2 linked regions of the Macaca fascicularis genome follow. The protein of the gene in region 1 binds, or shares a complex with, the protein of each later gene. Links are inferred from orthologs where the notes say so. Each region holds a gene or a part of one and is shown on either strand. Other genes may lie near its edges. The genes, in order: NPR1 and NPPA.

Region 1 (3,808 bases):
TCCAAAGGCATCATTTAAATAGTAAAATCTCCCTGTGATGTAGCGGTGTTATTTTCTCCCATCCTCTTCCAAAATCCCAGTGCCTCTCGTTCCCTTCCCCACAGCTCCCACCTCCATACCCTTCATACGCCCACCCCAGCCAACCTCTGTTTGCCCCTACAGGTGAACACCATCCCAGCATCCTTCCACGATGGGCTCCTGCTCTATATCCAGGCAGTGACGGAGACTCTGGCACATGGGGGAACTGTTACTGATGGGGAGAACATCACTCAGCGGATGTGGAACCGAAGCTTTCAAGGTCAGGGCCTGGAGGTGGTTGGAATGGGCTGCCTTGGGGGATGAATCCCAGGTGCCCAGTGTAAAGCCATGAGAAGCCTATTGCCCTGCAGCACAGTTACCTATGCACACCAGCCTTTTCCTCCACAGCTTTTATTCAGGCCCATCCCTCAGAAGTCCTACTAAGTGTCCAATCTCAATCATCCCTGCTGGGCACTGAATTCTTTTACTTTTTTTTTTTTTTTTTGAGATGGAGTCTTACTCTGTCCCCAAGACTGGAGGGCAGTGGTGCGATCTCAGCTCGCTTCAACCTCCACCTCCCAGGTTCAAGCGATTCTCCTGCCTCAGCCTCTTGAGTAGCTGGGATTACAGGTGCCCTCCACCAATGCCTGTCTAATTTTTTTTTTCTTTTTTCTTTTTTTAGTAGAGACAGGGTTTCACCACGTTGGTCAGGCTGGTCTTGAGCTCCTGACCTCAGGTGATCTGCCCACCTCAGCCTCCCAAAGTGCTGGGATTACAAGTGTGAGCCACAGTGCCCAGCCCTTTTACCATTTACTATCATTCTGTATACATATATGTTTGGAAGGCAAGACAAAAAAGATTAGAGGATGAAGAGATGAAGTGGGGCACCCCTGAACTTCCATTCTCTCAAACATAATCGTCTTCCCCCATGTCCTCAGGTGTGACAGGATACCTAAAAATTGATAGCAGTGGCGATCGGGAAACAGACTTCTCCCTCTGGGATATGGATCCCGAGACTGGTGCCTTCAGGGTAAGTTTGTGCACCCAGAAGACAGTGCCAATTCCAAATGACATCTCACCCTCCCACTTCCCTCCCCACAGCCCTGCCAGGGCACCTGTTTATCCTGTAGCCATTCTACCGTGCCTGGACACTTACGAGAGCCCTGGATAAAACAGACCCAGCTCCAGTCTGGGGAAGCCACCAGAATGATAGGGACCCACAGGCATCACACTTGGGGAGCCCCATGCCTGAGGAAGGAGCACAACCCTGCCCTCGGGGAGCCCCGAAAGGAGGCAGCAGGACCACCTCCCAGCAGAGACAGGGTGGTGAAGGACGCACATTACATAACTCTGCAATTGAGTGGAGACAGGAAGGTGCTGAGGCCAATGGTGGCAAGGGACAGGTCATCCAGAGAAGGCCTCCTGGAAGAGGGGCACATGGACTGGGCCTGGGAATGTAGGCTGAGGTGGACACTACCTTCTGTTTTCTACCAAGAAAATAGGTAGAGAAAAATCAGTGCTTGGTTGGTGCTTCAACCAAGATTATAAACCCCCTGAGTGTAGACATCGGGTTCTAAATGGAGTTTTCTTTATAAATCCCTTGATAGTTTTCAGGTGTTTCCACTTGAATAATATGTGTGTGGTATGAGGTCCTGTATCCAGTTGCAGCAGGGGCTTGGTAAGCAGGTGACAACCCAGATACATATAGGCTCTGGAAGCAGAGCTGGGGTAGGTGGGAGGTGAGACTGCTGCACTGCACAGCAGGCCTTCCCCACAGGCCCTGGCCTAGCCACCACTCCTGCTCTCCCTTAGGTTGTACTGAACTACAATGGGACTTCCCAAGAGCTGGTGGCTGTGTCAGGGCGCAAACTGAACTGGCCTCTGGGGTACCCTCCTCCTGACATCCCCAAATGTGGCTTTGACAACGAAGACCCAGCATGCAACCAAGGTGACTGCCCCTTGCCTTCCAGGCCTCCATCCTGGAGATACTGCATCCTTCCCCTAAGCACAGTTGAGTAGGTGCTCCTGTCCCACGCTGAGGGCTTCCTGGAGAATGATTCCTGCCTTTTTCTCCCCTTCATCCATCATCCCAGTTCACTGATGGACTATTAGAAAGTTCTTCCTCCTGCTGTCTAACCCAAATCTCTCTTGCTGCAATATGGACTCTCTCCTGCAGATCACCTTTCTACCCTGGAGGTGCTGGCTTTGGTGGGCAGCCTCTCCCTGCTCAGCATTCTGATTGTCTCCTTCTTCATATACAGGTGAGCTGTGATGTGGGGGGCTGAGTGAGGCTGGAGGACCCGGAGAACCAATAGCAGAGGAGGTGGTGGGGACCCAGAGGGAAGGGGGCAGGGGTGAACGGACAGCAGGGGAAAACTAAGGGAGATGAGAAAGAAAGGAGGCTTAAAAGCCAGAGGAGAGAGAAAGAGAAGGGAATGGCAGGCGAGGGGAGGAGACAAGGATAGGAATGGCCAAGGAGAGTCAGAGAGATCCAAGAAGCAGAGAAGTTGATGCGTGACATCATAGGGGTGTAGACTGGTTTCCCTTGCTACTCTTGCAGGCCAGATGGGAAGCAATGTTCTGAACCTTGGGATCATGCCCATGTTAGTTGAGAAGGGTGGTGAGCCCTGGTGTGTGCCAGGTGCCCAACCTAGAGTGGAGAGGGGAGCTAAATGAGCCCTGTTCCTGCCGTTCAGTGGAGGCTAAAATGAAGTACAGGAGGAGTTAATGATATACGAAAGCAAAGAAGGAGGGGAGAAAATCACTGCTGGTTGAACATAAAATATATGCCAAGCACTTCCACGTATACTATTTCTTTTTTCTTTTTCTTTTTCTTTTTTTTTTTTTTTGAGATGGAGTCTCGCTCTGTCGCCAGACTGGAGTGCAGTGGCATGATCTCGACTCACTGCAACCTCCGCCTCCCAGGTTCAAGCGATTCTCCTGCCTCAGCCTCCCATGTAGCTGGGACTGCAGGTGCATGCCACCACGCTCAGCTAATTTTTGTATTTTTAGTAGAGACAGAGTTTCACCATGTTGGCCAGGATAGTTTCGATCTCTTGACCTCATGATCTGCCCGCCTCGGCCTCCCAAAGTGTTGGGATTACAGGCATGAGCCACCGCACCTGGCCTCACACACACTTTCTTTTCATTCTTATAATAGTTAAGAATGAAATAGATATTGAGGCCTCATTCCCAAATAAGGACATTGAGGTGATTCCCCCAAGGTCCCCAGTGAGGCAGAATTTCCCCCAGCCATCCTGATTCTCGGTCCAGAGTACATAATTCCCCCTCCATCTCTGACCACGCATCATGGTGTGGTCCCACGGCTCTGAGGAGGGGCTGCTGAGCACCCTGCCCTGGGTCAGGGGCTCAGCCACGGGCTCAGATACAACCTTCGTACCCCAGGAAGATGCAGCTGGAGAAGGAACTGGCCTCGGAGCTGTGGCGGGTGCGCTGGGAGGACGTTGAGCCCAGTAGCCTTGAGAGGCACCTGCGGAGTGCAGGCAGCCGGCTGACCCTGAGCGGGGTAAGAACGCTAGTGTTTGTGTTGGGGGGCAATAAAGGACAGCTAGGTACAAGGGGCAGTGCCTGAGGGGTAGGGAAGGGAGCAGGATTCTAGTCCCAGCTCTGCTTTCACTTGCTGTGTGACCTTGAGCGACTCATAGTCCCTCTCCGAGACTGTTTCAGATGATGATTACAGCTGCAGAGCCTCCCTCACAGGGCTCTTTTAAAGATCAGAGGAGACAGTACCTGTGAAAACACATTTAAAAAAAAAAAAAAAGCGGCCGGG
Region 2 (3,920 bases), about 120 Mb from region 1:
GCAGTGGCACGATACCAGCTCGCTGCAGCCTCCGCCTCCCAGGCTTAAGCCATCCTCCCACCTTGGCCTCCTGAATAGCTGGAACTGCCGGTGCACATCACCACGCCTGGCTAATTTTTCAATTTTTTGTAGAGATGAGGTCTTTATTGCTCAGGCTGGCCTTGAACTCCTGGGCTCAAGTGATTTGCCCACCTTGGCCTCCCAAAATGCTGGGATTACAGGAGTGAGCCACTACACCCAGCCTACTCAGCTTTTAAGCTCAACACTCTGCCTACTCTTTTCAAAACTAAAAGTGCCATTAACTTAGCTGTAGCACCTAACTCTCTCGAAATGTATCAGAGGAAATCTAATTAATACTCTCATTTTCTGAATGTTCCCCCCAAAAACAACAAAAACCCCCGTAACCAAAAAGCACTAAGTGGAATTTGAGGCCTCCCCAACCACCCACCAAAAAAGGAGGGTGAAATGAAAGGAATAAGAAAACCTCAGCATTCTGTTCTCTGACAAAGAGTAAAATGACAAGGAATATCGATCGGCCTGAATTCTCTTCCCCAAGAAGAAATCACACCAACGCAGGCATTTGTCTTCTGTCCATGGTGCTGAAGTTTATTCACTTTCAAACCACTTTCAGTAACAGGTGAGGTTCTACCTTAAAATTTAATGCATGGGGTGGGAGAGGCAAGGAAGCCACCATCACACCACTTTATCTACAGTTAGTGTAAGATGTGAGAAGTGTTGACAGGAAGCTGCAGCTTGGATGGGATGATCACAACTCCATGACAACGAGATGACACGAATGCAGGAGAGACCCCAGCGGGCAGGAACCTCTTGCCGTCTGTCCCAAGGCCCAGCCCTCCTTGTGCTCCCTGGCTGTTATCTTCGGTACTACAAAGAGAACACAGACATATCTGGCTTGGTGACCTGGCTGTCTTGGAAAAGTCAGCTTCATGTGTGAGTGTGCCCATCCTCTGAACTTGATTACTGACTACCTGCTTCCCACCGGCCCCCACCCCAGCCTGATGACCCTCTGAACTTCATGAATTGATAAGCAAGTTACTCATCAGAGTAAATTTCAATTTAGCCCTTCAAGATCTTGCAATTCTGGGGAGGAACATGAGCTGCTAATCAGCCATGCAAAGATAACTTGGCCCTATGACTATTTTAATTTCCCAGTGCTAGTGGCAGTTGCTGCTTCTTTTTTTTTTTTTTTTTTTTTCTTTGAGACAGAGTCTCACTCTATCACCTAGGCTGGAGTGCAGTGGGGCAATCTTGGCTCACTGCAACCTCTGCCTCCTGGGTTCAAGTGATTCTCCTGCCTCAGCCTCCCGAGTAGCTAGGACTATAGGCACCCAGCACCACCGTGCCCAGCTAATTTTTGTATTTTTAGTAGAGACGGGGTTTCACCATGTTGGCCAGGATAGTCTCGATCTCTTGACTTCATGATCCGCCTGCCTTGGCCTCCCAAAGTGCTGGGATTATAGGCGTGAGCCACCGTGCCCGGCCTTTTTTTTTTTTTTTTTTTTTTTTAAGCATTTTCTCAGCAGACTGTAGCTAAGGACAATAGATGGCGTGTCCTGACACCCATGGGGCACTCACAGTGTTGGGGCAGAAACTTGAGAGAGAATGAGCTTCTGCATTGGTCTCTTTCCTGCTGAGGGTGTCTCCCAGTAGTGTCCATCCCATCCCATTTCCATCCCCAGTTCCTCTTACCCGGAAGCTGTTACAGCCCAGTCCGCTCTGGGCTCCAATCCTGTCCATCCTGCCCCCGAAGCAACTGGATCTCCGCAGGCTCCGAGGGGCAGTGAGCAGCGCCCTCAGCTTGCTTTTTAAGAGGGCAGATCGATCGGAGGAGTCCCAGGGGCCCTGCCCGAGGGCACCCCCATCTCTCTGGGCTGGGCTGACATCCCCGGTCCAGGGAGGCACCTCAGGGAGGGGGCTGAGAGCAGCCCCCGCTTCTTCATTCTGCTCTCTGAGCACTTGTGGGGGCACGACCTCATCTTCTAAAGGCATCTTTTCTTCCAAATTGTCCAGCAAATTCTTTACAAAAGGAAAATACAGGGAAAGGGATAAACCTCATTGACTTGGAGAAAATCAAGAGGCGTGAGCACAGCATCAGAAAGCCCCGTGGCCCCAGACTGCACCCGCTTTCCTGGCCCTACCTTGAAATCCATCAGGTCTGCGTTGGACACGGCATTGTACATGGGATTAGCTCTGGTCTGACCTGGGAGCTGGAATGCCAGAAAAAGGAGGAAGCTCACACTGATGGTGGAGAAGGAGCTCATGCTGGCGTAGTCAAGGAGCAATCCACTGCTTGCTGCTCTGTCTCTCCCCTCTGGTTCCTCTCTGGTTCCCCTCTCTTGGCCTACGTCCGTCCCTGTCTCCCAGCTGCCCAGTGCCTCCTCTTTTTATAGCCCCCCAGCTCTCCAAGCACGCAGGAGAGACAGAACCCTCCCCATTCTGTCACTTGCAGCGATAAAGCAGCAAGTGAGAAGCCAGCAGGAGATGCCCTTTTAAAGTTATCATCCCGCAGGGCTTGTCACAGCCCTTCTGCCTTGGGCAGCCCCAACAGCCCCCCAGACCCTCGGCTGCAAGAGCCGCATTCTTGCTGATTTGACTCAAGAGGCTTCCACTTCAAAGGTGTGAGAAGAGTAAAAAAGAGTCCTTGGTTATCTCACCACCATGCCTCAGGATTCTTTCTCCTCGATGCTGGTACCCATGCGGGGAGACAGAGGGTGACGCTTGGCTGCTGCCCAGCTCCCCTGGTTTGTTTGTGGCTCAGCTGTCAGGGCCTCCAAATAAGGGTGGAGAGGAGGAAATGGCAGGCAGCCAGCAGCCCGAGACAAATGGGTCCATATGCTCAAGCTGGCCTCACACCTGCCTCATCCGCCACGTGGGCAGACCTCTGGCCTCAGACAGGGCTGCCCTCACCCCTGGCAGTCCCTCTCCATGGTCAGACAAAAGGGAGTTATTTTTTAGTGTATAAAGTCAGCCAGGAACCAAATGTGATGAAGCTCCAAGCCCCGAATAGAAATACCAAGAAAAGCCGGGGAAGCACAAGCATCTCTCCAAAGCTCCTCCTCTTCCACGTCCCCCGCGACCCTCCTCCAACATGCTGTGGGGACAGGCTTAGAGGACGCAGCGAATTTCGTTTCTTCCTTTGCTGTTTATACATGCTCAGACTCTTCGTGTTTGAAGTTTGTAACAGCCCCCTGCCCTTCCTGGGCTTGTGCCCATAGCAACTTAGCCAATGAAGGGAGGGAGGTGGGGGTGAAGGAGGTATAGTCGGTTTCCTTCAATGCCGTCTACATCCTTCCCTGAGGACGTGGCAAGGGGCAAGTGACTGAGCCACCAAGGTCACAATTTCTCTGGCCCCCAAAAGAGAAATAACAGGCAACGAGCCTGTCTATGTTTAACGAATGGCCTGTTTGCTAAGCACCGAACTCAGTGTTAGCCATTACCATTCAATGCAACGTATACTGGGGGAAAACACTAAATTTGAAGGACTGACAGACTGGCACTCTAGCCCCAAACCAACCAGTTGCATACATCTTCGCAGCCTTATTTTCCTTGTGTGTAAAATGAGAAAGACTGTGCTGAGAACTTTATGGAAATGATTTTATTTTGATCATCATCCCCAGCTGGTGGTAGACCGCATTGTCCTTGCTTACAAGGGAACAGAACTGAGCCTGAGGGGCTATGCCACTTGCCCAAGGCCACTAGGTGCCTAAGTGGCAGAACCAGGACTGGAACCCCAGGTCTGACACTGATGTCCGCATCCTAGCCTATTTCACGTAGGGTGCTGCCTCTTTACCCCTTAGCTGCATTCCCCTATTAAAACTACCATTCCCCATCTTTCAGATGCCCCAGGGAGCTCCTTCACCTTCCCCATGCCCCTGGGGCTGTAGCTTTTTTGTGCACTT

Evidence for each region.
Region 2: the proteins of NPR1 (region 1) and NPPA are in contact, whole or in part, in a crystal structure (PDB 7BRG), measured with the Rattus norvegicus proteins. The link is inferred for Macaca fascicularis from reciprocal best matches to the Homo sapiens genes NPR1 and NPPA. Residues at the interface, in NP_036745.1 of Rattus norvegicus: Asp90, Val115, Tyr116, Ala119, Pro120, Arg123, Ala139, Leu140, Gly141, Ile142, Val144, Tyr148, Tyr182, Asp184, Leu186, Gly187, Asp188, Asp189, Arg190, Phe193, Phe194, Val196, Glu197, Tyr200, Met201, Arg204, His213, Gln214, Glu215, Phe216; in NP_036744.1 of Rattus norvegicus: Arg126, Ser127, Ser128, Cys129, Phe130, Gly131, Gly132, Arg133, Ile134, Asp135, Arg136, Ile137, Gly138, Ala139, Gln140, Ser141, Gly142, Leu143, Gly144, Cys145, Asn146, Ser147, Phe148, Arg149, Tyr150.

What each region holds. Positions count from the first base shown.
Region 1 is NC_088375.1:107,488,326-107,492,133, reverse strand, and holds part of NPR1 (atrial natriuretic peptide receptor 1), read left to right. Parts: intron 1-162; coding exon 163-298; intron 299-956; coding exon 957-1,048; intron 1,049-1,830; coding exon 1,831-1,966; intron 1,967-2,194; coding exon 2,195-2,279; intron 2,280-3,423; coding exon 3,424-3,544; intron 3,545-3,808. UniProt on the Homo sapiens protein: Receptor for the atrial natriuretic peptide NPPA/ANP and the brain natriuretic peptide NPPB/BNP which are potent vasoactive hormones playing a key role in cardiovascular homeostasis.
Region 2 is NC_088375.1:222,958,614-222,962,533, reverse strand, and holds NPPA (natriuretic peptides A), read right to left. Parts: upstream 2,382-3,920; 5' UTR 2,283-2,381; coding exon 2,160-2,282; intron 2,038-2,159; coding exon 1,711-2,037; intron 886-1,710; coding exon 874-885; 3' UTR 580-873; downstream 1-579.